Drosophila melanogaster: one gene and its partners. The protein of the gene in region 1 interacts with the protein of each later gene in a pairwise test. Each region holds a gene or a part of one and is shown in the gene's direction. Other genes may lie near its edges. The genes, in order: Dim1, CG8925 and t-Grip84.

The links.
Region 2: the proteins of Dim1 (region 1) and CG8925 interact in a two-hybrid assay, tested with the Drosophila melanogaster proteins (one large-scale study listed by BioGRID).
Region 3: the proteins of Dim1 (region 1) and t-Grip84 interact in a two-hybrid assay, tested with the Drosophila melanogaster proteins (one large-scale study listed by BioGRID).

The regions. Positions count from the first base shown.
Region 1 is NT_033779.5:4,400,418-4,405,971, forward strand, and holds Dim1 (Dim1), read left to right. Parts: upstream 1-2,833; 5' UTR 2,834-2,919; coding exon 2,920-2,997; intron 2,998-3,096; coding exon 3,097-3,447; 3' UTR 3,448-3,538; downstream 3,539-5,554. Other genes in the region: CG33003 (uncharacterized protein), read left to right, coding at 703-872, 933-1,351, 1,449-2,674.
Region 2 is NT_033777.3:16,168,640-16,174,738, forward strand, and holds the start of CG8925 (uncharacterized protein), read left to right. Parts: upstream 1-3,351; 5' UTR 3,352-3,517; coding exon 3,518-3,880; intron 3,881-5,668; coding exon 5,669-5,860; intron 5,861-6,099. Other genes in the region: CG6006 (uncharacterized protein), read left to right, coding at 1-68, 1,056-1,382, 1,450-1,605.
Region 3 is NT_037436.4:7,588,549-7,594,647, reverse strand, and holds t-Grip84 (testis-specific gamma-tubulin ring protein 84), read left to right. Parts: upstream 1-3,649; 5' UTR 3,650-3,729; coding exon 3,730-5,916; 3' UTR 5,917-6,040; downstream 6,041-6,099. Other genes in the region: Pura (Puratrophin-1-like), read right to left, coding at 1,203-1,370.

The DNA.
Region 1 (5,554 bases):
GAATATTGTGTTTTGTATTTTGTAGACGTTAAGTAGAAGTAATATTTACATAGGTAACTAACACGCGTGTGGCACCTCCAATATCAAGTATTTTTAATAAATTACGAAATTATTCCAACTATTTGTATGGTTTTTTCTGTTTAACCTGATCAATAAGATTGAGCAGATACATCCTCATTTTTCATGACTATTCGAAATGTTACTAATTAGTTGCAAAATTGGAGCCACACGCCTAGTACCACATGAGGTGTATTCACCATATAGCCACGGATTCAAACTCTAGTTACACTCCACAAGCACAAATCCCAGTCGGCCGGGAGCACATAATGGAAGATGCCATCAGAAATGTGGAGTAACAATCAATTAGCACCTGCGATGTCGACGAAATGAAAGTGCTGTTCTGCCCGTTCAGATCGTTGGTATATAGATCACTTCTAGTAGCACCTTCTGCCCGGAATCTGGGTCATGAAAAAACGAAATCACGAACTTGCCCAAACGGAGTCGAATAAAACCAATGGTCGGCCCAGTGCTCCGTTGTATTCCAAAATTTCTCGCGACACGGTGCGGTGGTGTTTTTGTTTCCGAGCTCCGGCGGACATGAGGACAGTATAGCCCCCAAGGAAACTTAGTGATAGTGCGCAGCTATAATTATATTTATAAAGTGTTCCGAGGTGAAACGATATCAAGATACGAGATCACACGATGCGTTTAGAAGGCGCCAACTGGGCGCTGGTGGTGGGTCTCAGTCTAATCCTTGGATTTGGACGAGTCCAAGCCTATTCTCAGGTTTTGGTCAGCGGCACTGGAGCTGCAAACGATCAGGGACCACGTATCTTCAAGGCTCTAAATACGGATTTGATATTTCCGAGGACGTAAGTTGCAAGTGTTTACGAATCGGTGATCAAGTCTCCTGACACTTCCTGCCCGCGCAGCTTCAACTCCAGTGACAATGTGGTATCCACCACTGGAGCTCCAGTGATTACATCGACATCCACGACAAGTCCACCTCCTATTCCTTACAACCATCAACCCGAAGGAACAACCAGTTCCCCACTGTTTGTCACCCCGTTAGTTGTCACAGAGGCGGAAAAAGTCGATGATCCTGCTCCAGTATCCGAGGAGCAAACAGAGCCAGTCGTACAAGGAGCCTCCACAGGACGCGCCGTGGACTACAGGACAGCGTATCCCTTTGGCCAACTGATAACTCCGTTGCTGCGAGGCGGCAAGCCGCAGCAGTACAACTCCCGACCAACGAAGACACGTATTTACCCGCAAGGTATACCATCCTACTACTCTTCATCATCACAAAATCCATCCCGCTATCAAGCTTCGAGGCCCAGCTATAAGAAAGGTATCATCATCGCATCAATAGAGCATACAAATCAAAACAGTTCTTAAATTCTCTAACAAATATTTTTATACATACTTATCTTTGTATTTAACCTAAGGAATCGCCGATCGTTTTGCTCCTGGCGAGGGAACCGCCGCTGGTCTGTTCAAGGGACACAATCATGATCACAGTCACGACCACAGTCACGATCATTCCCATGGACAGGATGGCAAGGTGGCCGCCGGCTCCAATTCGGTGAACTCCTATGTTTCTCCAGGCGATACGTACTCCTTTCCGCCGTTGAACACAAAGTATCCATCACCGTCACAGGATCCCAAGGCTGCATTGCCATCGGATACCGTGACCAGTTACCTGCCACCCGCATCTGGAGGGCTGAGCAACGCTGGATACATATATCCGGGGCCTTCTTCCAATGGTTACAAATATCCCGGTCCAGTGCCCAATAGCAATGCCGACAAGGATACGGCGGCCAGTATGGCGAGTGCTTCCCCGCCGGCTGATGATGACCCCGGTAATGATGATTCCATCGGAACCCTGCCAGCTAGTGCACAGGACAACATTCCTTCCAAGGATCAGGACAGTATGAGCGGTCCTGCTCCTGCAGATGGCATGGATATGGGATCTCCTGCTGATGGTGGAGATGGGGGTGGCGGTGGCGGCGGAGATGGGGACATCGGCGGTCTGCCATCTCTGCACAATGATGGTTCAGGTCCCGACGACGATCACAAATATGATCCCAATATGGAGTATGCCACACCACCGCCCGGTTGGCTGCAATCTCACCCAGAATCTGCGGCTCCCAAGCCGGATGATCACGATCACGACCATGCACCCGATCATGATCACGTGCATGATCACCACCACGATCACTATCCGACTCACTTCGACTACCAGCCCTCGTATCCGGATGATTCCTATCCGGATGTCATTTACGATGATCATCCACACCACCATCACCATGTCCACCACCCACCGCCTCCTCCTCCACCGCCACCACCACCACCGCCACCGCCACCGCCGACGGAACCACCACCACCTCCTCCGCCGCCACCAGAGCCACGTGTGAAGAAGTACAGCTACTTCTACATTGGCCGCAAGCTCTGGTACATCCCGCTCTACTTTACGGTGTGGTTCAGCTTCTACATCCTGTGGCTGATCATCAAGTCCATCGGTCGCCACAAAGTGAACCTACCCAATCACTACGTCTCGCGACGCAGTGCTCCCGATCCATTTACCGAGCAGGGACGGGACGAGTATATCAACGAGATGACGGTCAGGGTGCTGGAACACATAGATAGCTTTAAGCAGAAATACTTGAACTGATAAGGACGCTACTAATTACTAAATGCCTATTAAAAACTTAATTATAAACCGAACGTTCTTGCACTGCGTTTTATTGGGAAACACATTTTAAATTTCGATAGCCACATGGTTCCGTTTCCGCTGACAGCTGTCATCGATATGTAATCGATAAGGTTATGCTATCATTGTTAGTACATCACTATTTTGTGAGACTTTGTTTATGTTTTAATTTTTCTGCGGTAACTTGAAATAAAAAACGCGCCAGGATGTCGTATATGCTCCCTCATTTGCACAATGGCTGGCAGGTGGACCAGGCCATTCTCTCCGAGGAGGACCGAGTAGTTGTGAGTAATCGCAGTCGGTTTAAGAAGACACTGCTTCGTGGAGCACCACTTGGTCAATCACCCATCAGACATAAATAATCAGAATTGTTTCCCCTTCAGGTAATACGTTTCGGTCACGATTGGGACCCCGCCTGCATGAAAATGGATGAGGTCATGTACAGCATCGCCGAGAAGGTGAAGAACTTTGCTGTCATCTATTTGGTGGACATTACCGAGGTGCCGGACTTCAACAAGATGTACGAGTTGTACGATCCTTGCACGGTGATGTTCTTCTTCCGCAACAAGCACATCATGATCGATTTGGGCACGGGCAACAACAACAAGATCAACTGGCCACTGGAGGACAAGCAGGAGATGATCGACATTGTGGAAACGGTGTATCGAGGTGCCCGTAAGGGCCGTGGTCTGGTAGTCTCGCCCAAGGACTACTCTACCAAGTACAGATACTAAGGTGGGTCGCGTACCCCGCCGACTTAGTTTAATGTATCCCATTTAGGCGTAACAAATTGATGATCCCAAATAGAAGCGACTGTCTCTTGGCAACTTGTGTATATGTATTTTCTTCTGGTTTATTTTTCACTTGTCACATTTCTCATTAATATCGCTAACATGTACATCAATTTCTTGGTTTTTCATATATAACATTTAACTAAGTTTGTTCTTTAATAGCTCATACTTTTAAAAATTTTAATCCGTTCTTTAAAGTAAACTTTCATTAATAATTCTTGTATTTGCGCGTTAGTAGTACACATATTCGTTTTAATTTCGAATTGCTTTCATTTACCAATTTGATCAATTATGCTTTGAGTTTAGCTAGAGGTACATATAGACATCAATCGAGCTTATAAACATTATGGAAATTAGGTCGGACTATGGAAAGGGGGGCGTTAGTACAAAAGTATAAAAGAAAACATCGCAACGAAACATTCGCGGGAAAAGGAAAGAAGTCTTTTCTAGTAAAAACACTAAGTACTCGTATTCGAAGTTCACAAATTGAATGGCCTACGCATTGGTGCCGATATCCAAACTTTGTCTTCAACATTGTTATTGTTCATTTAATACAACAGCTCAGTTTTATTACAGATTTATTATGCTTAGGTTTAACAATTGGTTCCGCTACTCTTTGACTTACACAAGTTAGGTTTGCTCATTGGTTTCATTAAATATAGGTATGTATATTTATCTACGTTATTAGTTATATGTATATGTTTGCTCATTTGAAACAAATCAACGCTACAATTACAATATTTTCATTTACGAATTTTCATTTACGCTTACGTTCTTCAGCATATAACCAACAATTAAATGTTTGTGTTTCTGGGGGATTTTCCTTTTGATATACCATTTCCATTTCCTAGGCGCCTTTCGAGTTGATCTCGTCGTACAAAATACTTACTAGTATTAAAAAATATTCAAATAGGGCTCGATTTATACATGTGTGGTGTATATAAATATATACTTATGCATAGGATAGGTACAAATCAGGCTCAGGCTGAGGCTCAGGCGTGTTAGAAAGTCTCTGGGGGGCTGGGGCACCTCAAAATGCAGCTCTATCATATTATCTCGCCTTTCGACCACTAATTGTGTATTTTGATTTGAGTAATCCGAGTTATTTGATTCATTTCCCTTCCCTTGGCTTTAGCTTTTCATAGAAAAATAGAGATGCGTAGGTGGGATGAGTTAGGAAATTGTTTACATACATGTTCGTCATTTTTCTATATTCGCTTTCTAACTTTATATTCTGACAACAACTCTATTATATATCCAACAACAATTCATTTTCGAACAGGCAGGAGCGGGGAAATGCGAAAATGTTCCTGGAAAGTCGTCACCTTTTGTCTAGCTACGCGTTAAGGACATTTAGGCATCTTCGGGCGGACCCCTCGAGGTCCTTAAGGTCTTCGGTCAGAGTACTTTTGTTGCAAGGATAACACGACATCGCTGGATTCGATGCGAAGTTGCGGTGCACTCTATAAAATTTCTAAATTACAATACTTTAAGTATTTGGCTGCTGGTTAAGACACTAGAAGAGTTTTCATTCCGTAAGAGGGAGAGCTATAGATAGAGATAGAAAGACCGATATATGGTGGCGACTGGCGATATATCTATAGAAATATATGTATAAACTTTCTCTTCAGTATGGCGCCGCATACAAATATATATATTCGTACGCCTGCACTTTTGTTTTACAGATAAAGTGTGAAAAATAAATCCGAGTATCACTACTTAACTTTTAGAGTTCTATTAACAATAATAGACAACAGTCTCTAAGTACGAATACGTTGTTGTTCATTACCCACTTCCACCTTCCCGATCGGTCTATGCATGATTAGTAGGCATGTACTACTGTACTGTGACTCCGTGTGCCAGACCGAACTATCTTATGTTTTGACTAAATGCGCTTAATCTAATCCTCCTTACCTATACCTAAATACTCATCAATACTCGCGTTTCATAGTTCCGGGTTCCGGATCTCGAGCAACCCAGGAAATTGGTTGCTAGACCAGGCGACAAACTGAGTTACAGTGAAAACTTCAAAAGTAACATTCTCTAAACT
Region 2 (6,099 bases), on another chromosome or scaffold:
TGAATCTGGTATACTACGGCATTATTCTTAACATGAGCTCCTTTGGCGGCAATGTCTACTTGAATTCGGTGAGTTATGCTGCTTTTAAGAAATTAAGTATACGTAGGGCGGGCGCAGTTCAATCCACTTAGGCAAATCATCGGCGACGGCATGGGAATCTTCAGCCGAAATCTTGTTAACATATAGGATCAATCAGGCATTTAGCCACCGCCAAGAGGTTCACCATTTTCGGTGGCACTGATGGCCACCTAATTGGATTTGTCAGCAATTCCATCAGACGCTGACTAAAGACTGTCTGTTCGATGTCAAGTGTTCTCCGACTGGCTGGACGGTGTGAAAATGTGCTTGCAATCGAATTATAATGTTACTGGCCCACACCCACCTCCAATCCATCCACAATATAGTAGATAAATCCTGTCGCGGCCGCAGCGCCACTCGCAGCCATCTTAGCCCCTTCCACCTGGCAGATGGCCAGCAAAATGTTGAGAGCACAGTGCTGGCGGGCCTTGAGTGTACAATATGTTCGGCATGTTTGGCATTTTTTCGGGATTTGATTGTTTTAAAGCACTAAGCACCTAATGTTGTCCGAAATCCATGTTTGTTTGTTTGGTTGTTTTTTTTTTTATTTTTTGTTGTGGAACGAAAAGCTAATGGAATAAGTGGGCTAAAGATGTTCAGTTTGCGCCAGACATGTCTAAAGATTTTCGTACAGGTAACAATATTTTAATGTATAATATGAAAGCTGTGTATGTGTTTTATTACCTAAAAATCCTAAATAACCTTAAATTATCTACTAAGCACATTATTTGTGTGCAATTCGAGTCCGAATTTCTCGACTTTAGCCAGCCAACTGCTCAGCACTGTCCAGCATTCGCCAATGGGCGTGACAGCGAGGTTTTCAGCTAATTTATTGCATAATTTATTTTGACAACGCCGAGCGCACCTTTGATGCCGCTCTGATTTAATGCGCCCAGCCGACAGCTGACATCTTGTCCACTTGCCCTCGTCGTCCTCATCCCCTCCTGAATGTTATGTTTTATCTATGTTTTCCACAGGCGCTAGCTGGCCTAGTCGAAATACCCGCCATCGCCGTGGCCATGTACATCATCACCAAAGTGGGCAAGAAGTGGCTCTTTTGCGCCACTTTGATCTGTGCCGGCGTCGCCTGCTGCTGTGCGGCGATCACCGAGGGGCATGCGGATCTGCTCTGGCTGAAGATCACATTCCTGATGATGGGCAAGTTCACCATTAGTGCTGGCAATACCATAATGCCGGTGTACACGGCGGAACTGTATCCCACGCCCATACGCAATGTGGGCGTGGGTGCCTGCAATGTGGCCGCCGGTTTGGCCTTGATCCTCACACCATACCTGTCGCTACTGGTGAGTTTACCTCTTGTAGGGACATGCTCATAAGGATAAACCGTAACCCTGAACTTATGTCTTTCAGAACAAGATCGAGGGCCATCTCTTGATGACTCTGCTCACCGCCTGGAGCATCTTTGGCGGCTTTGTGGTGCTCTTCCTGCCCGAAACCGCTGTGCGTCAGAAGACAGACAACCAGGGTGGCTCAAGTGCCAATGCCAGTGCCGCCAAGCAGGTGTAATGACCGCCATTGCCAATCCTAACCTGCTCAGCCCACGAGGAACAAAGTATTTTGGCTGGTCCAAAGTATGCCGATTAGAAGTCAGCGTATCCAACGCAGTTGCTGTCTCTCTGCCCCCCACTTAACCCCCAATCTGCCACGCCACCCGACATATCCACCGCCTGAAGCCACCTAAAATGTATGGTAACGATTCGATGAATGTCCAAAAGTAATGCCAATTCGCTGGAGAACGTCACATGTCAGGCAGGACCTTGTTTGCGTAGCACGTAATGAGTATGTATCTTACTAACTAACAACAATGGCTTGTAGCTTATGTCATAATCTAAGTACTGAAAACACACAGAACACCCAGAATGTTACCAAAAACACTCGAAGTAGCTTAAGTTCTTCGGTTCCCATCGAAGGTTATAAATTTGACCCAAGTTTAGGGAGGGTTTGCAATGGGAGCTTACAAACTTATTTTAATACAGCTTTATTATATTATTTTATAATTTTATTTAAATGGTTTTAAAAATAAGGAAGTATTTTTTTGTACGTGATTGCGCCACAAGCTCCCTAGGAAGAGTAATAAAAATAAAAAATTACCCAGTAAATACAGAGCGCTTAATTACGGAATTACCAATTCAATTACAAACGAATTAAAGTTCACACAAAGAAAATTTTAGAAAAACAATTTATAATGTTGTCAATATGTCTTGTCAATATCTCAACGTATGCATAATCTCGTCGTCGTCGTCGTCGTCTTCTTGTTGTCTATTAATAAATGTTTTCCAAATACGAGATGAATAAGCAGAGAAGCTCAATCTTCCACAGAAAAGAGAAATGAGAATGGCAGATTTAAGCGACCATTTGTAATCTCTAGTAATCGTAGTCAATTAATCCTTAGTCTACCCTTAAACGTATCTACAACAGATCAGTCTCTAAGTATCGGTCAATTATGGATTTGTATATATTGTCTGTTTGTGTGTGGAGGAGACACAGGACATACAAGGAGTTTTACTGTTTGGAGCCATCAAAGAATATATGTATATGAAATGAACAAATAAATTTCCAATATAATGCATTTAACAATGTATACAATTATGTGTATATGGATATGTGTGCGTTTGTGTATGTATATGTAGAGAAAAACAAAAACAATCAAATTAGAGAAAGCCAACCTGTTGAATTACTTGTTGTACTTACCTATCAAGTTGTTATGTGCTCATTTGTATTTTGTATTATTTTCCGCAATATAATGTCGCTTATTTTACATTTATTTTTGTTGCCTATTGTACTTACCCGCTAAGATCATATCAGCTTTGTTATGTACTATTTGTCATTAGTAAGAGATTTCATTAAGCTTCAAACAAACGGAATACCCGAATCTAAAACAACATTAAATTAATTGTTAAGTTAAAGTGTTTGAGCGAAACACAGACATAAATTTATGAAAATTGTTGTAAATCAAAATTACCAAAGCAAACGCAATTATAGTGTCAAAATAAAACATAAATAAATAAATAAATAAATAAATTAAAACAAAAGCAATTGTGTCGATATGGAGATATGGATAGTCCTGGCGGAAGTGAATGTCACTCAAGTCGAGCGAAAGCTTTCGCAGGCCTATACCAAATCAATTGATCGTGGGGTAGTAGTCGAAGCTTTGAGTTGAGCTTTTTCGATACTGGCAATGCCATGCATATAGCTTTCGCTCTTTTGCAGATTTACAGAGTGCTTATAACAGAGCCCCAAACCGTTAACGGTTCCAGATCGATGCCGACGGCTGAGATACTAACGATCGACGCGGTTTTGTACTTATTTTCAATCGATCGATTGGCGCACCAAGTGGAGTAATAAAATCGGAGGGTTTCGAAATCGCTTGATATCGTCCATATACAAAAAAAAAAACCTATATATATACCTCCTCGATATGAGTGGCGTGCTGCGTCGCGGTTCCCTGAATTTCGATTGCGTTGGCGGGCCGCGGGACAAGGGCAGGGGCAGCCTGGAGGCGAACCTGTATGGCGGATATCGCGAGACAAGGCCCGGCCCAAAGACTCCGGAAATCAGTGTCATAGCATTGGACTTTCGACGATATTCCGAGGACCTGAAGAAACCACCTTCAGCGGAGCAAACGGAGCAGCCACCGAGCAGGGATCTCAGTCAGGATGAGGACAGCGATGTGATATCAAATTTCCTGGGCCACTACACCCGCTGGAGTTTTCTTTGGACCCTGCTGCTCTGCCTGTTCCAGTTGCCCACCACTTTTCACCTGTTCATGTTTGTCTTCCAGGTGAGTTTTGGTTTTATGGCTTGGCAAATATTTGACCAGTTGATTGCGTCGCCCGAAAAACATCGAAATCAAATATTTTTGTACGCTAAAACCACCCGCCCACCAAACCCCTCCCAAACTTCCCCGGATGTTTGATAGTTTGTGCTTAGACCGGAAGAAAACATTATGCAACTCAAATTGATTGATAGCTGTAAACTCTGTAAAGTAATTTGCACTAATAATAGGCGGCTAATTGGATGTGTATATCATCTGAAAGGTGTTGACAATGAGTGGAAAACGAAAGAGAGTTTGACATTACAAAACGTTATCAGCAAACGAGTTTGCTATAAACGAGTAACAGTAACAAAACAAGTGATAACACACTGAAGAGCTTGCCACTTGAGTTTGTTGGCCAGCAATCAAGGTAGCTCGCATGCCAATTTCGGCCCAGCAATTTCAGACCCACTTGGCTTTGATTTTGTTTTAAATATTTTTTGAAATGCCTCTCGACCTTCGAGCACCTTTGACCAACATTCAGGGAGGCTGTCACAACACTGAGTACTTAGGAGCCATTTATCGGCATGCGGGTTGCGTGTGCATCATTTGCCTATGTTTTGAAGTTTCGATGCCACCGCTAATCAGCGTAATCATCGTCTATCGTGCTAATGTCCAACTGAAAAAGTAGCCCCAAATCGAAGGGAGCTGAGCAAAAACCACATGCGACCTTGACACACACGATCTGCGGAACGGTGGGTAATAGAGCTTGGCCAGAACCAATGGCAAATGCAATGGTCATTCAAAGAACACAAGAAGTTCGATTGCCTGAGCACAGTTATTTTGCAGAGGTTAATTATACCAATTGAGCGGCTGTAAATTGGGGAATAAGTGGGGGGAATGGTTAGGTTCAGCATGTTGCGTGATGCAACTGAGAGGAAGTGTTAGCTCATTTGGAAAAGTTCATAAAACAATTAGAGGAAATACTTTGACATCTCTCAATATTAAAGTTTCTGTTCTGTCAAACCCATCTATCAGCTTGAAATATTGAAGTATTTGTCTAATCATTTATAGAGACTTAATTGACTAGTAGTAAAATAGGTAATAAATAAGCATTTTTGATAAAAGTTATTGCACAGGAGGTACTGATTTAATTGTTTCTGTGTTCTTCTTCTTTTTTCCTTGATAACCACTGTGTTATCTTGGGAAGACAAACAATAACCAATTGTTTAAGACTGTAGTCTATGAAAACTATTCACTGAATTTACATGAAGCAATCAAAAATTGACAGTCACCGATAAGATAACGACTGTCGAACTGAAAGAAAGTTCGGTTCTATAAAGATTACTTTATGTTGGCCAGATGCTCCAAATGAAATTGACTCGTCGAAGAGTGTGCATTAGCCTTGTGGGTGGAGTTGGTCAAGGCACTCCCCAGAAAGGTCGACAGTCTACAAAATTATAAAGTCATCAAGTGATTCTTTAATGACTCATTTGGCCGGGTGTGAAGACGGAGCTAACAAGTAATTTGACTATCGCAACATCGCGCTGTGTTCGGACATTATCTTAGGGCCCCCACAGAAATCAGAAACAACGGCGCGCCTGCATAAAAACCAGAGACACGGCCGAATCTCTCTGACATACGCACTCACGGCTCTCGACACCTCGGAGCACTTCAGAACGTCGGCCCACCGAATCTTGCATCTGAAACCAATTTAAATTTCATAAGATATATTTTCGAAAGTCAACATTCTAACTCAGTTGACGTGCAACGCACGGCGTAAGCGGTTGCACTTCGAACCGGGCCACAATGGAGCTAACGGATGTGAGATCGGGCGAGGCCTCGCCCATGTTGAGCGATGGGAACATGGAGAACCTAGATCTGTTGCACACTAAGCTCCTGGAGCGGCTCTTGGGCTGCCTAACGCCATGGCAGAGCATGTGGTGCGCCCTGCTCTCGATCTTCCAGGCCATCTGCACCTTCCACATATTCGTCTACGTGTTCCAGGTGAGTCAGTCGGCCTCTGGCCAACAACATTAGCCATCGTTGCGCTCCATCGCCTGCCACCTGTGCCCATCATCGCTGGCACCGCCAGTGCCAACTAATATTGGCCAACTACAACGCAACCGCAATTGACAAGGTTCTGTATATTAGCCTGCATGTGGTACCTCCTCCCCCAATGTCAGTTATCAGCGCGTTCCCGTGATAACGTGAATTTAAGTGACTGCGATTGCAGGTGTGTGTGT
Region 3 (6,099 bases), on another chromosome or scaffold:
CTCTTAGCGGCTCCTCGACTGTCGGTCGGTTTTCACATTTGTGGCATTTTGGCGTTTGTTTGAATTGATAACAGGCTGAAAGTGCCTTTCAAGCTGACAGCCATAATCGCTCAACGCCAACTGTTTGGCGGGCTAAAATAGTTGGGGGGTTGTTGGGGAGTTTTCCCGACTGCCAGGGGATGGAATTATATAGAACCAAGCCTATGTCTCCGCCAGGTCGATGGACACACCCATCCAGGCAGAGCGGGCGGAAAGCGGAAACGGAACAAAGCCTCAGACAGTGGCCAACTTGGGCTCAGACCAATTCAAACCAGCAACTCCGATGGAGAAATTATAGCGAGTCACGCGAGTGCTAAACTTTTCTAACCCTTCTTCAGCAGCCGGCTGTGCCCCGATTCGCAGGAAAACCAGAATTAGCTAAAAATTGCACCGAATGCCCGAAATGATTGTAGTTAATTGAATTTGCAGCCTGGCTGAATAACTTTTAATTGAATTCCAGCTAAAATCTAAAGGTTGTGAGCTGGAGTGATGACCCACTTGGGGATCTAGTGCAGGATGATCTAAGTTGGGTAATAAATACATAACTCTAATTGGATAGTCAGAAAAGGGACAAAAACATGTTCAGGGTTAGTAATTAGGCATACCTTGATAAAATACAAAACTTATTTTGCCGGCCTGTATAATAGAGCACTGACTTTATTGACTCTAGAAAGTGCTAAGTACTAAGGTAATGAAAAAAGTCACTTTTTGCGAATAATATTAATGACTACACAGATGCTTCTATTTATTAAGTTGTTCTTGTAGATTAATGGTACTCCTGTGATCAGTGTCAATTTCATTTTGGCTATGCAACTTCGTTAATATTCTGTTAAAGCTGGCTATTAAAAAAGTAGTAAACAGCTGTTTAGTAATGTCTAAAGCAGCCTTAAAATATTGAAATTCGAATAACACTCGCTCATTGGCTTTCGTAATTGATAAATTGAGCAACTACTTCAAGAGAATACCCTAAATACATAGCTATTCTATTTCCACATTGACTCTATCCAGTCAAGTCTATATATTTATTTGTTCACCAATGATCTCATTTCAAAGCCCATTAAATTCTGTAGCAACTGAGATTAAGTATATCAGTTTAATGGCTTTAGAAGTGGCTAAATGATGTGGTCACGTTGCTACTACCCTATTTCTTTCGGTGTACTCACGTGACACTGCCTTCTGGCCAGTCGGCGCCTAATCCACTTGAACGCCTCCTGGCGACGCCGGACAAAGGACATACTGGAGCGGTGCCACAGATGCAGGACGATGACGAGGACGCGCTGCACCCAGACTCCCAACCGCTCGCTCCACACTTCCCGGCGCAGCTGGAACATTAAGCACAGCACTCAGTCCGATTTTCAACGGAATCAAATACCATAACTTTCGCGAATGGCTAAGCACTGCGATATTCCTGGGCGGATTGGCCAAGACGGCGGGTAGCTAATAGAATTTCACTTTTGTTTTGGGGGCGGTACGCGGTACGGAACCGTTGTTACTTCAGTTGCGTTTGTTGTTTGACTGAGAATGCCGCCGAGTTTGTTTCTCCACCTCGGCAAACTTTGAGTGAGTGTGAGCAGTAGACTCCTCGACTTGAGACTCAAGACTTGAGACAGAGAGAGAGCCCTGCACTTGCGATTGTCACCGCTACTGATACTTATACTGTTTTTTTTTTTATTTTAACGTTTTTTTTTTTTTGTTGCTTTCCGCGTTTTGTTTATACAATTTTCTGGTGCGGACCGTGTGCGTGTGGCTTACTGGGGAACCCAGAAAAATCGTACTACTCGTACATAAATAATGCAATAAGTTGGGGCCCCACCGAATCGAGACAAAAACAGAAGGTGGAAAAATTGAAAAAAAAATCGAAACTGTTTTTGCATTCGCTGCACACATACACACACACCCATCAAACATCACACCTCTTCTGCTGTCCGAACACTCGAATACTTGAATACTCGGCTTTTAACCGAGCTTTGCACTCAATTTGATTGCCGGCAGAAGCGGCTGCAAAATCCACGGTAGTCACATGCGACACATGTGAAACACGCAGGGGAGGCCCATTTTACGGTGAAGGCGAAGGTGTTGCTTTTGTAATCGGCGGCCTAGGCACATTGGTCGCAAAACAACTAAAATGGGTGGTCAAATTTGGTATGTGACTCAGTTCAAAATATACAATATACATATATATCCAAATTAGATTATTAAATGGAATGTACAATTTGGAATAATCAAATATTTTTGAAATTATCTTCCTTGTCAAGTGGCAGTATACGACGTTTCATGTTAATATTTAATATGTTAATGTTAATGTTTAATATTTATTATTTAATTTAGAAATATTAAAACAAAGAAAGATTAACGCCCATGGTAGTGCAAAATTTGTTTTAAAATTAAAAAAAATATTTTATACACTTTTAATCGGGCATTTCTCCATATCATATTACCACTGTACTTGCACTAGTTCGTGTGTGGGCGTTTCTAGGCGATCCCTTGTACCGCGCCCAGTCTTCGAAGTGCAAGCGCCGCTAGGCGACGAAGGCAAACAAGTGTTTTGGGTGTCTGCTATACTCGTAAAATGCGAGGAGGATAAAAGCCCATGGAACGTCTATCGGAAAGCTTTTGGAGCGTAGATTAATGTTACTGGCTGTGGTCGGTCTGCTGGCCGTGTTGCTATTTTGTTATTTACCCGCTCGTTGCCAGTACGGTTATTTATTTATTTATGCTAATGTTGCTGGCAGAGCCGCTGACGCTGCATTTGCATTGTTTAGAATGAGAACAGCGAGAAAACGAGCGCAGCAACAAAAAGGGGGCACAGACAATAACAACAACTATAACAACAACATGTGCAACAGCAACTGCAGCTACAGCGGTAGCAACAAAAACACGACAAGTGGCACTCACGCGACAAAGGCCCATATATAAAGTGTTCTCATGGTTATCTCGTTGCCTGTGCGATACTTTCAAGTGTTTCACATGCAGAGGAAAAATTGATTTTTATCAATATAATAAACAATACACATATTCACATACATAATTCACTCACTGCAAATCATTTTCATTAAATCCAATTCATAGTTTTAAGATTTCACAAATTTGTTTAAGCACCCTAATAATATGTACCAAAAAAAAAATTTCTCACTGTGTGCGGATATTTTGGATACAAGCACATAGAAAGTTCGAAGTTCCCATCGCGTAGAAATTGATGGAAAATTCTCAGCACGTTCGTCAGTTGGTTCTGCTGCTCCGCTTGATTGACAACTGGGCGTCGGATCGCCCAGCTCAACTTGAATCGTTGAAGTATGGGCTTGAAATGCACCTGTGGCTCCAAACTTCGACGAAACCAGAGGCGAAGATGTCGCCGCTGGGCACGATGATCGATGGGGATCCAGATTCAAAACCAAGTTGATTTACCTCGACGATTCAGCGGATATCACCGAAAGTAACCACCTTTCACAAATGGCTAGAGTTAAGTTTGATAATAAGCAGAAATGGAAATCAGAACTAGCAGAAGTTAGGTGTACTCAGCACTAGCACCTATTGTTATAACAACCAAAAACTCTACTAACTTTACATATATTTAATTATTTAATTTCAATCTATCCAACATACCTTAGTTATTATAATCATTCAGAGAACACTTAAATAATTTTAAGCTTCGAAATCGATCTCTGTTCTTGATATATTTTCTTATTCACCATGAACTCCGACAAATCGGAAAGTGACTTCGCGAACAAAGTGCGCTTTCACCTCAGTAAGGACGAGCTGGAGCGGCAGATGAGGAAAATTCACGACCGTGAGGAATCCGTAGACGAAAAAATGCGTCCATCAGGAAGCGAAAACAGCGGTCATAATTGCAATACGAGCTCGTCCTCAAGTCTGCCACGGCAGGAGTCCTGGATCTTCGAGAGCGTTGGGGGTTACTTTCTCGCCAACGAAAATTTGGCCAAGATGAGTTTGCCTTGTCAGGAACAGTTGCTGATGAGGGATCTAATCTATGCCTTCTCGGGTGTTCCATCTGCATATGTAAAGCCTGATATTCAGATCGATCAGATTTCCGAAATGTCTGCAGTGGATATAGCCAAGATTCGCTTTCGATTGAAAAAGACCTTCACTGGGGCTTTTAGGGCTTTGGCCAATGAAACATTACCCCTGATAGGTTATTATATTAGTGTACAGAGCTATATAGAGGAGACCAATATGTCGCCTAACTGCGGAAGAACACGACTGACCTTAGCCACTGCCTTAAGTGATCAACTGCAGGACTATTATGATCTACAGTCCAAGTTGGAAACGGATTTGCAGGACAAGAAGTTGGATCTCAAGGATCTGGTGCGACAGGTGCGTCCTTGGTTGCCTATTTTGAAGACTTTTTCCAACATGGCCAGCAGTGCCCGTGGCAATTTGACCAGCGCCCAGGTCCTAACATTGCTGGACCAGTTCTACCGGGATCTGAAGGACACTGATATAGATCTAAAGGAACGAGTGAACAAAATTTTGACTTCGACTAGTCGAGCTTACATGAAAATTGTTCAGCTTTGGATGCAAAAGGGTGTTCTATTCGATACGCAGCATGAGTTTTTTGTGGAGGACACGGAGCCCTCGAGTACAATGAGCAGTACTCTTTTGGCGCCGGAGAAATGTTGCCACGCCTACTGGGCGGAACGGTACCGCCTTTTGCCAGACCGTTTGCCCGGTTTCTTGCTTTCCCAGGCGGATGATATTTTTCTGGCCGGAAAGTACCTAAACATTTTGAGGCAGTGCAATGTTTCATTGAAGCTGCTACAGCGGCCACTAGCTTATAGTCAAGGCGATTTGGGACATGAGGAGATCATTAAAACAAGCTATGAGCTGCCAGCACATAAGTTTCTCAAGGTTTTGGTGGAGGAGCACAATTTGCCTTTACACATTCGCAATTTGAAGTCCTATTTCCTGCTGCAGGAGGAAGGCTTCTCCGAAACTTTTCTGCACAAATGCCATGAGTACCTAAAGTACAATGTGGAAAGGTTAATTCCCGAGAAGCTACAGACTCTTCTAGCAGAGACCCTGCATAAGTCCAATGATTTCATTAAGGATAATGTTCGCTGTCAGCTTAAGGTTTGCGATGTAGCCACACTATTGGGTAGGCAACATAAAGCACAGAGAGCTGTAGAAGATGAAGAAGAGGAGGAGAAGGAGAGCTGCAGCGAGCAGGATCCTCCGGAGGTCCTGAATCTCTACGGCTACGAGGCATTAGCTCTTGGCTATGAAACAAAATGGCCACTAAGCTTTATTATCTACCCGGAGCTCCTAGAGCAATTGCAGATGTTACAGCGTGTCCTGTTTTTTTTGCACTATGTGAAACATCATTTGACAGTCCTTTGGCAAAGTCCTTGTGAGGGTACGGGTCTCCAGCTAACCAATCGATCTGGAAAACTTCGCCACCGCATGCTAATGTGTATGCTAAGTCTGGAAAACCACATCATCCAGGACATCACCGAACCCCGATGGCAATCTTTGACCTTAACGGTGGACAAGGCAAAATGTATCGACGAGGTACTAAACAAATTGGAGAGCACCGTAGAAGAATGCCTGCGTCTGGGGTTACTACCCACTGCCAACACGTTTGTGAAATCTCTATACACACTCGGTCATGTGTGTCTCAACTTTTGTGACTTTGTGGAATCCTCGATAGGAGAGAAAAGTACCAAAGAACTCGAGCAGGAAGTGGTCGAGTACGAAGAGGAATTTAAAAGCTTTTTGACCAGCATTTTGGAGTTGGTTAGCCAGTTGGCTAAGACGAAAGACATTGCGGAACGGGACTCCTGTAAACAATTGCTCAAACGACTTGGGGAGTTAATTGAGTTCTCCGATTTGGATAAGGATCAAATAGCTTCCAATATTTAATCAACGGCATCAAAACGTGTCCAACAGCTTCGCCAAATCACCCGTGCTTTTTACTCTCCATGACCCATGGAACATTTAGTGCTGTGTTTACTTAACTATATTATAAGAGCGTTCTTGCAAAATGAAGTTAACTCTTTCATTTACTTTATTAATCCTTTGAGATTCAAAAAGCTATCAATCCAT